3 linked regions of the Astyanax mexicanus genome follow. Each later gene encodes a partner of the first gene's protein in a complex. Links are inferred from orthologs where the notes say so. Each region holds a gene or a part of one and is shown in the gene's direction. Other genes may lie near its edges.

The links.
Region 2: alyref (region 1) and thoc1 share a complex: the UniProt entries of both Homo sapiens proteins name them as parts of the transcription/export (TREX) complex. The link is inferred for Astyanax mexicanus from reciprocal best matches to the Homo sapiens genes ALYREF and THOC1.
Region 3: alyref (region 1) and SAP domain-containing ribonucleoprotein share a complex: the UniProt entries of both Homo sapiens proteins name them as parts of the transcription/export (TREX) complex. The link is inferred for Astyanax mexicanus from reciprocal best matches to the Homo sapiens genes ALYREF and SARNP.

Annotation. Positions count from the first base shown.
Region 1 is NW_026040069.1:87,280-91,401, forward strand, and holds the start of alyref (THO complex subunit 4), read left to right. Parts: upstream 1-1,018; 5' UTR 1,019-1,183; coding exon 1,184-1,441; intron 1,442-3,094; coding exon 3,095-3,256; intron 3,257-3,348; coding exon 3,349-3,496; intron 3,497-3,706; coding exon 3,707-3,773; intron 3,774-3,853; coding exon 3,854-4,046; intron 4,047-4,122. UniProt on the Homo sapiens protein: Functions as an mRNA export adapter; component of the transcription/export (TREX) complex which is thought to couple mRNA transcription, processing and nuclear export, and specifically associates with spliced mRNA and not with unspliced pre-mRNA.
Region 2 is NC_064415.1:2,583,119-2,587,240, forward strand, and holds the start of thoc1 (THO complex subunit 1), read left to right. Parts: upstream 1-1,190; 5' UTR 1,191-1,241; coding exon 1,242-1,289; intron 1,290-3,020; coding exon 3,021-3,094; intron 3,095-4,122. UniProt on the Homo sapiens protein: Component of the THO subcomplex of the TREX complex which is thought to couple mRNA transcription, processing and nuclear export, and which specifically associates with spliced mRNA and not with unspliced pre-mRNA.
Region 3 is NC_064431.1:13,310,327-13,314,448, forward strand, and holds the start of SAP domain-containing ribonucleoprotein, read left to right. Parts: upstream 1-1,220; 5' UTR 1,221-1,301; intron 1,302-2,047; exon of another isoform or gene 2,048-2,081; intron 2,082-2,370; 5' UTR 2,371-2,464; coding exon 2,465-2,497; intron 2,498-4,114; coding exon 4,115-4,122. UniProt on the Homo sapiens protein: Binds both single-stranded and double-stranded DNA with higher affinity for the single-stranded form. Specifically binds to scaffold/matrix attachment region DNA. Also binds single-stranded RNA. Enhances RNA unwinding activity of DDX39A.

The DNA of each region.
Region 1 (4,122 bases):
CAGACGGTATTTTAGCTGATGATGATTCAGGACTATAGAAACTGCCGCAGGGATCGGTTCTGGTCTGGGGGAGGTAAAGGCAGTTGGAAGAACAATAGGCTGCTTTTCACCTGAGCACAGGTGAGAATAGCTGACCATTCACCTGATCAATTGTCAATGGCTTTCTGAGTCTCTGAGTGATCGCCTTAATAAGATGTGTAAAACAGTCCATCTATCTGAAACACCTTAAAGTGAATAAAGTAACAATAATAAGAATAATACAGCAAATGGGCTTTTTTCTCTGGTTGTGAGAATTCAGTTTGGTCCACAGAAACACAAAAGCTCTAATTCTCACCTGAACTATGATACATATATACTATAATAAATATTGCTATGGAAATTTAGTACAGAATTATTGCGCATATGCTCTCTAATAGAATAGTGTTAGTGTTAATATTGGGTTTAAATTAAAGAATTTTAAGAAAGCATTAGTGAAAATCTTGCATTGTATGATTTGTGTTTATTTCCTTTAAAACCGATGAAAACATTTTCATACCCCTGCTTTATTTGAATTATTAGATTTTTAGAAGTTACGTCTCACAATGTAAAAAAAAGTTCCCCAGTTCCAGTGCTGTTGAACTGTTCCATGTTTATTCACTGTGTATGTATTAAAGTAAGGAAACTAGATAAAATTTTGGTAGTTGGAAGTTAGTTTTTAAACTTTGATAGATTTCTCTTAGTAGAACTCATTAAAAGGGAAAGTTTAAATAACTGTAAAACACTGGAGATTATTTATTGTCAGATTTGCTGCACTTTAGTCACAGTGTTGGAGTAAAGTTAAGATTAAACAGAAATAAATTAACTGGTTTAAAAAACAGGAAATTAAAGCATTAATGATTTAGGCCTGATGTTTTAGTGAGGTATTTATATATGTGTGTATATACATATATGTATCTTTGTTGTTGTTGAGTTGTCTCCGCCCAGCGGCGGAAGTAATGTTGTGCGGAAGTGCGTCACTGTCTCCTTGCTTATAAGCGCGTGAGGGCGGCAGGGAGCAGTTTCCGGTCGGCGGGGCGCGCGGGTGATAGATCCGGGTATCAGCGGCGCGTGATTATAGAGTTTATACTGCGGTGTATACAGGAGTATAGCTGAGTATTAGTGTAGTATATAGCGGAGTATAAGAGAAGTATAGCGCAGGGTCAGCATGGCGGATAAGATGGACATGTCTCTGGATGACATTATTAAGCAGAATAAGCAGCAGCGCGGCGGTGGTGGAGGCGGAGGCCGCGGGGGGAGAGGCGGCCGGGGCCGGGGAGTGGGAGCCGGCGGGGGCCGCGGCGGCAGCGTGGGGAGACTCGGTGCCGGAGGATTCGGAGGCCGGGGCGGAGGAGCGGTGGGGCCCATGCGGAGCCGGCAGAGCCTGGGCCGCGGCAGAGGCGGCAGACCCGCGCCGTACAGCAGGGTAGGAGAATCCGCAGCAGCGGCCGCAGGGCCCGGGCCTAGCTCAGCCCGAACCCGGGCCTCTCCGGAAAAATGTTCCTATAAAATGTGTTGTGCATTATTGTTCTCTCTTCCCCCCCAAAACCAAAACCTCGGTTCTCCCACGGGGTTTAGCTGAGCGGATCCAGCGTGGCTAAAGCGCCCTAACTAGGGCACACAGGCCGGCGCCATTTTGGAACAGCAGCAGCGGGGCGCAGTGAAATGGAGAAATAGTGAAGAAGTGATTGAGAAAAAAGGGAGAAGCGGAGGATCTGCTGCTTTATTCTCCTCCAGAGTTCTGCTCTCAGCGTCCAGGCGGGTCTGGAGACCCGGAGATCAGCGGGGAGACCGGCGGTGTTTTGTGTTTTTTGCGGGAGCTGAAGAGTGCGGATCTTTTGTTCGGAGTCTGATGAAGAGAAACGGCTTTAATTTCAGCCTGAATATCAGATTCACCGCGGATTCTCCTTATGAAGAATGGACTCTTTAATCTCTAAATCTGTGTTAATCTCTGCTGCAGGTTTAGAGTTTATAGGAGATTATATAAACACTTATATAAAGTTAGCTCAGTCAAAATGGCGTGCTCTCAAAATGGACGCTGATCTCTTCAGTTCCTCAAGAGCTTTAATCAGGCAGCACTGGACTCTATTTTTATCTCCATTTTTAATTTTTTGATGGACTGGCTGAATCCACCACCTGTTTCTTCTGGAGATCTGAACTCTGAAGACCTGCAGAGATTTATTTAAAGACTCTGGGGTTTGTTAGTTTAGCAGTTTTAACCTGAGATCACATCAGAAAACACAATCCAGATATTAATCACCAACACAATCTGTATTATAAATACAATTTCTAGTAGTAATGTTTGGTTTGCAGTTATATACACATTCTGATTAGCATATTACCACAGATTTACCTGGAAATACTAGCAAACCTTAGTCAGTTAATCATTTTATTATTTTTTACTCTTTTGCTGGCAGTAACTGGTGTTCTGCTCTTTACTAACACATCTTATTTACTTCCACATCTGCTCTTTTACGTAAACAACCTGAATGACTTTTTGATTTCTAAAAAAAAAATGTATTTCTGTATAAATCATTTTATGGTACTTTTGGTTGCTATATGGTTCAGTGAATCTGTAGTAAAGGCACAGTTTTTGACGAGTAACAGTTAAAAGTTGGGTTAGGACTGTTTTTAATGGTTATTTTAGACTAAAACTGCTTCCTGTATGTTGATGGTAGCCTAGCATGTGGGCAAAAATGGGGCGTAATCATGGGCCAACTGGTTTTGGCAATAACTTTTAAAAGTCACGTTCTGTTCTTATAACTGCCTTACATTTTTTAATCTGTTTATTTGGTTTGAGTTATTCTTTGCATACGTATGAGTTTATTGAGGGCTCTTTTTAAAATGTTTAAAACTGCAGTTTTAGTCAGTGTGTAGTTTTCTCTGTTGCCTCCTTTCCCTGCACTGGCGTACTTGTGTAGTGATGGGGTGGGCAGGGGTGGCTGGAAATCGTGGTGAGCGCCAGATGCGCTGGCCTGGTTGAGGCGGGGCCCTGCTTGCCCCAGCACCCTGCCGAGTGGACAGTCAGTGCCAGCCGGGACCCGAAGTCAGCAGGTGCGTTCTCTTTCGTCTGTTGCAGCCGAAGCAGCTCCCCGACAAGTGGCAGCATGACCTGTTCGATAACGGCTACAGTGCCGGTGCTGGAGGTGGCGGTGGTGGCGGCGGCGGAGCTGGAGTGGAGACTGGAGGAAAACTGCTGGTGTCCAATCTGGACTTCGGCGTCTCAGACGCAGATATTCAGGTACAGTGGTGCAGTAGATTTGGGGGGGGGGGTCTGTATTAAAACGCACAGTCTTGGATTTGAATCCTGACTTCGCTTGTTTTTGTCCGAAGGAACTCTTCGCTGAATTCGGCACTCTGAAGAAAGCTGCGGTGCATTATGACCGGTCGGGGCGGAGCCTCGGCACCGCAGACGTTCACTTCGAGAGAAAAGCAGACGCTCTGAAGGCTATGAAGCAGTACAATGGGGTTCCACTGGATGGTGAGCTTTTTGATTTTATTCTACTTGTTCCTTTTCAGAGAAGCTTAAACCTAAATCAGCCATTTCTTCCTTCTGAGTGAGTTCAGATGTGTTATTGCCCAAAGGTAGAAATGGTTGGTGTAGGGTTTAGTTGGAATTGCTAATCTTTTACAGATTTATTCGCTTGTCACTTATTACGAAGTTTTTAAATGTAATTATTTTTTTCCACAGGTCGTCCAATGAACATTCAGCTGGTGACATCACAGATTGACGCTCAGAGGCGAGCCCCGATGCAGGGGTCAGTACAGGTTCTCCTGCTCTGTCTGAATTAGTGAGGGTTTATTTATGTTCACCTAATAATTTCTGTTTCAATTTTAGTTTGAATCGAGGTGGTGGAGGAGGAGGAATGAACAGGAACAGAACCGGGGGTTTCGGGGGTTTACAGCGAGGCCGTGGAGGTCGGGGTGGAGGACTCCGAGGCCGCGGTAGAGGAGGAGGTGGAAGAGGCAATAACAAACAGCAGCTCTCGGCAGAAGAACTGGACGCTCAGCTAGATGCCTACAATGCCAGGGTACGTAACCTGACTATGGCTCACTCATGTCTCCTTCAGACCCCTAAACCCTGTCTTTGGGGTCAAGCAGTATTTA
Region 2 (4,122 bases), on another chromosome or scaffold:
AGTGAAAACTTGAAAATAATGCCTTTTGTTTACAAAAAAAAAACATCTCAGGGAGAGTAGAATTTTTGTATAAATAAAACTACATATGTTAAGATTTAGGCCGAAATTGAGCTTCCCCTCCTTGAAAGACCAGCATCCGCCACTGATCTGTAGTGAGTCTGTAGTGAACAGAGCAGATCCGTAGGTCATTAGCAGTAGTGAGTCTGTGGTGAGTCTGTAGTGAACAGAGCAGAGCGATCACTGTACAGAAATCAGATCTGCAGGTCATTAGCAGCTCAGTGTTTAAATGGGTTTTATGGGAAAAGTCATTATTTTACACTTTAATGCAAATCAAGCTCTCAGAATAAGCCATTACTGTAAAGTGGAGAAACCCGAGACTTTTATTACTGTAATCAGAAACATCAGCACCACCACACACATATATTTACTCCCAACCAGAACAATAAATACAAACTGGTTCAGTTTCATAATTTATATTAAATCTACATTATTCTAAATGTAATGTATCTCTACATTAATCTAATATTAATATAATGCTCATTAATTAATTAACTAATTTATTTACACATTTACTTATATATTCAATACTTAATTCACTCACCCATTCATTGATTAAATTAATTATTAATAATTGTATTTGAATAAATCTTTCACTTCCCATTCTTCTGCTTCTTCTTCTTCTTCTTCTTCTTCTTCCTCTTCCTCTTCTACTTCTTTTTTAATGTTATTATTAATCATTTATTCACAGAAATGTAATTCATTACACATTTATTTTTTATTCATTCATTCAATTAAATGAATTATTGTTTTATTTCTTAATTAATCTAGTTTTCCTTTTGTTGTAGTAGTAGGTGTTTTTCTTCATAGTTTGAAAGAGTTTAGTACTATATACATATAATGCAGAACAATATAAAACTATTTAAAATAATTAAAAAATAATTTATGTATTTAAGGTGTGTCAAATTTCTTTACGCTTATTATATATTGTTTTATTTTTTACGTCAAAATATGTTATGAACTCATTACATGTTCTATGCTTCTTATATAAATTAATTCATTTTTTGATAATTGTTTTTTTTTCTAATTTCTGATAGCATTTTTTCTCAGAGCCAGCAATGACTTTTATTTTGTAAAGTGTAATTTTCTCGGCGGGCCGGTGGCGCCCCCTGCTGGTGGAGGTGCGGTTTGCAGGCAGTAAATGACCCGGATGTGTAGCAGTAAGGAGGGCTGTAGCGGTAAAGATGTCTCCCGGCGTGTTTAACCTGCTGGAAGCGCGGGAGAAACTCACGGTAAAAACACGCTTTTAGACTCGTTTTTACTGTAGTTTTAGTGCAGTTTTACTCTATAACAGCTGTAGATGAAAAAGCTGTGCTGTTTGGGCGGGTAGCGCCTTATTAAGGCATGTTTTTTCACTGTGTTTATGGAGAGGCTGTAGCTTTTCTGCGTAACTCTCCGGTCCACCTTAAATACCGTCGCTGTTTCATTGTAGTGCTGAGAGGCGATAGACAGCAGCTAATGCTCAATTTAAGGTAGAACGGGTAATTCAAAGAAACGTTGCTGATTCAGATGTTCAGTGTTTATGGAAACTCAAGCTATTGAACTGAATTACTTATAGAGCTGAGCAATATACCGATTTCTTATCCTATCGTGATTAATTTTCTCATCATTTCGACAATATGCTTTTTTTCAAAGAATATCGTTGATGTTTTTAGGGTTTGTTTAAAAAAATATTGATTAGTTTTTTAAATATAGACGATTTTTAAAAGAATATCAGCAATATGCTTTTTTTTTTAGGAAAATCGGCGATATGCTTTTTTTTAAAGAATATCGATTATGTAGGGTTTTTTTTTTTAGAATATAAATATTTTTTTAAACAAAGACGATTTATTTTAATCAACTAAAGTTATATGCTCTTTTTTTAAAAGAACATCAACGATATAACTTTTTTAAAAAAAATTCTTTTTATTTTAGGAAAATCAGTGATAATGTTTTTTAAGAATATCAATGATTGTTTTTTTTTATAGATATGCCTTTTTTAAGAATATCGACAATATGATAAATAATTAAAGTGCACTGTCCCAACTGAAGCTACATTTCATTACAGACTGTAAAAATATCAATTTAATTGGATAATGTACAGCAAAAATATAATAATCACTGTACTGATTATAAAAGAGCATTTGAATATCTGAATAGCAGAATCTACCACTTTTACTTAATTTAGATTTCGTCTCAAAACATGATTATTGCTGTGTATCATTAAAAACTGTTCTTAAATATTGTGATATATTTTTATCTTTTTGCCCAGCTCTGTCAGCGTGTGAAATACATACTACAGTCATGGCTGAAAGTGTTGGTAACTTTTACCAACCAATTTTACCAGAAAATAAAAAAATGTTTTTGCCAGAAAATGACTGCAGATGCACGTTTATACACGTTTTTCTGCTGTTGTTTTTATAGGTTTGTGCCAACCATTCAGTGCTTTATTTTTTGTTTTACATTCCATATAACTAATTCTGACCTGATTTTTTAGAACAAAATGATTTATGAATTTGGCGTCATTTATCTTTCAACAAAATTTTACCTTAAAACATTAAGTCATGTTTTTACAAAAAAACAAAAAAAAAACATGAATGATCTGTAAACATGAATCAGTTTTGAGTTTAGCCTCATTATTCAGAAAATAGCTTGGGCTCTTATGGGTTGCCATTATTATTAATATGAAAAATGGGTAAATAATCTCAATTATTAAAACAGAAATGAAATAACTCCACTGTTTTTTAAGCAGAAGAAAGTTTACACGCTGTGTTATCCAGGTAAAGGGCTCCTCCCACTGAGTAATAACAGAATGGGTAAAACTGAAATCAGCAGAAATGATATTATGCATGTTATGTATGTGTGTTGTATGATTGACAGGGTGAAAGAAGCGGATGAAGTGGACGTTGAATGGACAAAAAAGTCTAATAATTGTATTATTAATGTATATATGATTAAATATAAGTTGTGTATCTCCTCTGCAGGCGGGTACAGGAAGTGCTCTGGGAGCTCGGAGCTGTAAACCCCTCACCAGCGCCTTCAGTCACCTGTCTGGAACGTGAGTTTCTGATTTAGAGTTTAGATTTCTGCCTGAACCCGAACCGAACTCGGGTCCTCTCGGGTCGGGCTCGAGAAAATGATCTTATAAAGTAATTCTGCATACACTATAAAAAACAACTCTATGGTAATATTGCAATATTTATTTTGCTGTTTACTGTATTTACTTATAATTATGTGTTTATAAAATATATGTTTATATAATGAACTAAATATGCTTTTTTTTCTTTGTTGCATGGCTTTATTTATGGTTTTTCATGTCTGTTTTATGATTAAATAAAAACTGTGAAGTATCTAGTAGAGAACCTTCTCCACAATGAGACACAAGCCCGGAAGAAAAATAAAATAAATGAATATTTTTAACTAAAAATAATAAAAATATTGCTTCGATCAAATCAAGTCAAGAGGTTTTTTATTGTCATTATATCTGAGTACAGGTACACAGTGTAGTGAAATTAAGGGTGTACTCACACTAGGCAATCCGAACCGGGCCCGGGCACGGTTACCTCCCAAAGCACGGTTCGTTTGGCTAGTGTGATCGCTCCGAACCGTGCCCGGGCCCGCTTGGAGAGGTGGGCCCAAGCACGGTTCACTTGGACCCGGGCACGGTACAGATGCAGTGTGAGCGCAAACCGTGCCCGGGCACGGATCAAGATGACGTCAGTGATGCGACGCTACTGTAAACGGAGGACGTTTTATACACAATTCTGCATATAATATTTTTGAAAAGGGTTCTAAAGAGCACCATAATGGTTAGTGTTACCCATAATAAATTAGGACTACTATCTACAAGTCCTAAACAACAAACACATTTTATTATTACTTGAGTTTTATGTTTCGCTCCTTTGGTCACTATTTATGTATATAGCAAGTACGTCTCTTACCTTACTGATGAACGTGAATTGTAGTCCGCGAGTAAAGCTGCAAATTTCTCCCTGGACGTCTGCTGCTTGTGTAAAAACCTTCTTACACGTGCAGCACGATTAGCAGTAAATCGTTGTGTTGCACAATCAATGAATCTCTGGTTCA
Region 3 (4,122 bases), on another chromosome or scaffold:
ACATGTAAGAACACAGAAGAGTCGTGTTATGACTGATTTCATATCTAGTTGTGCTTCTGGCTGAAGATGTCGTGAATTAGGCATAACTTATTTTGTTTTACTGTTGTGGTAAATTAAGAAACCAGTTCAGTTTCTGAATCAGTTTCTCTGATTTAGCTATTTATAGGTTCATGTTTGAGTAAAATTAACATTGTTGTTTTATTCTATAAAATATGGACAAAGTTTCTCCGAAATTCCAAATAAAAGCATTGTCATTTAGAGCATTTATTTGCAGAAAATGAGAAATGGCTAAAATAACAAAAAAGATGCAAATCTTTCAGACCTTAAATAAAGCAAGAAAACAAGTTTATATTCATAAAGTTTTACGAGTTTAGAATTCAATATTTGGTGGAATAACCCTGTTTTTTATCACAGTTTTCATGCATTTTGGCATGTTCTCCTCCACCGGTCTTACACACTGCTTTTGGATAACTTTACACCACTCCTAGTGCAAAAATTCAAGCAGTTCAGCTTGGTTTGATGGCTTCTGATCGTCCATCTTCCTTTTAATTATATTCCAGAGGCTTTCAATTTGGTAAAATTAAAGAAACTCATCATTTTTAATGGTCTCTGTTTTGTGTGTGTGTGTATGTATACATATATACAGTTTATTTAGTTTATATTTTAAAAGTTCTTTATTGCACCCTACACACAAACAGATTATTAAAGACTGAATAAACTGTACTTTTTTTGGAGAATGTATTCACTGCTTTCTTGATCGTCCCTTTACTGTAAACACCAGCACTAAATAAAACATACCCCTGCTGCAGGCACCACACCCCACAGGAGTCACCCAGTGGGGGTCATGGATCAGAGGAGCCGTGGTATGGAAGTAAAACAGTGTCACCAGATTTTGAAATTTAAAAGCACTTGAATTTTTAGCACTGAATTATTTTACATTGAATTATTGCATGTGATTTTTTTGCCTCTGAATTAAACACTTTAGTTTTTCAGTATATCATTTTCACTTATTTTATTTTAATGTAAAAAAATTCAAAAGCAAAAATTCAAGTTTTAAAAATTCAATTAAAATAAATTCAGGTTGCTCAAATTCGACCTGTCAAATTCGACTGCTAAAATACAACGCTCAAAATTCGCTGTCAACATCCGGGACACACAGGATGAGCAATCGATTCAGTCTTCAATCGAGCCAACAACCAGCCAATCACATCACGCTCCGAAGATCACGTGACAGGTAGCGCCTCACGGCCCAGAGCCGCTCAACGCGAGTCACAGCCCCCACCGCTGCTGCTGTGGAGAAGGTGAGTTTAAAACAGCTTAAAACAGGGCATTTACCTCACCACTGTGGCCATGTAATATCACTTAAACGGTGTAGAAATCCTCACTTTAACCACGGTTTGCTCTGTGGTTTGTAAAAATATTAAATTAAGATAGATATCCAGATATACCTTTTTAAACTAAATAAATAAATAAATAAATAAAGCTCCTCTGTTCATTTCAGAAAGCACTTCAAACACGAACACTAGATCAATTATTTATAAATACAGACAGACTGTGTGGAAGATAATTACTACTGTAGAATCTGAGATAGTAACTTAGTTAGCTTAATTATAGCTACCTATCTTGCAAGTTAGCTGTGGGACTGTGCGATTATAGACAAGATACTACCTAGTTAGTGGTTTGTTTAGCAATACCTTATTTACACTTTGCTGCAAAGTATGTTGCTTAGTGTACTGGCCACTGTCTAAATAAATATATTTAGCTATATTACACTTACTATACCCCTCTCAGGCTTGTCCTCTCATATCAAAATGTGGTTGGGAGTTCTAAGACAAATTTTGAGACAAAGTGGTGAAATAAAGTGTAAGTAGTTAGCTGAATTGGTAATATTTGTGTGAAATAAGCCTTTGAATCTGTGATATTATATTAAGGAGTAGTAAGTCATTATTTTCGCTAGGTGGCAGTGTCGCGAAAACATAGGGTTCTAGAACTGCGGTCCTGAAACTGCAGGGTCCTAAAACTGCAGTCTCCGTAATTTCCTGAGGACAGAAATGGCACCTACTTGGTGGAGTGGCCCATATGTATGGAGCTATGAAAGAACAGTACAGAATATATAGTGGGCATCCATCATTTTATTTCTGATTTTTAATTTATAATGGTCATGAGCTAGATGTTTTAGATGGGGCCTGTTGTAAATTGTTTTGTTATTGTGTTATTTATTATGCCCAGTCCACAGAAATAGTATTATTGAAAGTAATCTTTATGTTCATTTATATTTGTAATAATTTCATGTGTATTATTATAAGCCGTATAACCAGTTTATTGTCAGTAAAATCGTTGGTCTGATTTAAATAAACCCCTCTCCTGTAGTTGAAGTGAATCAGTCTGAGGGCGGCGCTGCAGCACTGACCGCGCTCTGAGCCACAGAAGAGGGGAGAAGCCTGTAGTGGAGAAGGAGCTAAAAATGGCTGAAGTCGTAGAACTCCAGAAACTGAAGGTAATAAACTAATTTATTCGAGTTAAACGAGAATTTCGTGCTTATATGGATAAATAGAACCGGTTTTTAATCTGATTTATTAGAGAAGTGAAGGGTATAGCGCTCAGTCCACCTTTAGAAAGCTAGTCAACTAGCTAGCTTAGCTTAGCTAGCTAACGTTAGCTTAGCGTTCAGGCTACACCTCACTGCATGTTTACAGAGCTGTTTAATTTAGTGTATGTTATTTTGTTAGCTGTTCTACATACTGCAAATAAAATATTGAGGAGTTTAAAAGTGGATAAAAAAAACAGACCTAGGTTTACCTTATTCGTCGCTTCTGGGCTGTACTTTAAACATTTGTTAAAAATTTAAGTTCCACCTTAAATTGTATCTAAACTAACTGGTGCTAGCTAGTTTAGCTACAATGTGTAAGTTGGTTTTATATGCTTAAAGTAGTTGAAAATCTGAGAATATAGAGATAAACACACTCTTTACTGGTTAATCAGCTCTTAACCAGCTAAAAAATATCATGGCTAGCTCAAGCGAGTCAGGCTGGTTAAACTGGTTGACCAGTTTTGGTCAGTAGATTAAAAGGTTTGTGTTTTTGTTGGTCTACAAGCTAAACAGCCAGTATAACCAACTTGGGGTTTATTTACAGTGGTAAATTGAACCCATTACTATGAATATGCTTCCTTTTAAGTCATATAGTGGACCTACACGTGTTTAATAGCTCTTGCTGTTTGTTAACTACATAATTATGGTAATTCTAGAAACATCTAAGCCTTCTGTTGGTACTGTCTTTCTCTTTTCACAGCCAGTTTTTTTAAAACAGTGTTTTAAAAAATCACACCTTCTCATTCAAATATTTTCTTCATTTATTTCTTTCTTTCTACATTGTAGATTAATATTAAATACATAAAAATCCTCCACAGTCCCCTTATCTAAACCATGAAATTGAGAGCAACTTTTGTCAAGATACTGAGAAAACTATTCCAGGTGACTCTCCCTCATGAAAAAACAATAGTGTGTAGATCTGTCCTCAAAGCTAAATGTGCTACTTAATTCCTATCCGAATGGGATTAGTTTCTTAGGGGGACGTCTGTGAAAAATACTTCACACTTGTACTCGTGATAAAACTCTTGCATCCGGTCTGCAATTAAAACAATAGGTGAGTTTTTTTGGCTTTCTTGGTCAAGTGTGTGTTTAGTAGCTTCTCCATTTCCACTTTTTCTTTTGTTTACGTAGATCTCCATTGAAACGCGCACCCAAAGTGAAATTAAGCAATAAAATCACAGAGGCCCCCATTAAAAGAGAAAATCCCCCCAGAAACCCCCTGAGAAACTAATACTGTCCGGATAGGGCTTTAGATGAGTCTATCGTAAAAACTTATTCTATTTTGTTCAACACATTTTGTATGCCAAATAATTCCACATGTGTTCCTGTATAACTTTACTATCTTTTTAATATTGAATTTACAATGTAAAAAAACTCAAAGATAAATCACGTTGAATGAGAAGAAACCATTTGAATTAAATTAAAACTGAAATCATAATGCTGAAAACTAGCTTTAGTGTTCACATATCTTGATGTACCTTTTATAATCTCTATAATTTATTCTTGTTTTTTTTTTTTAAACAGTTGGCTGA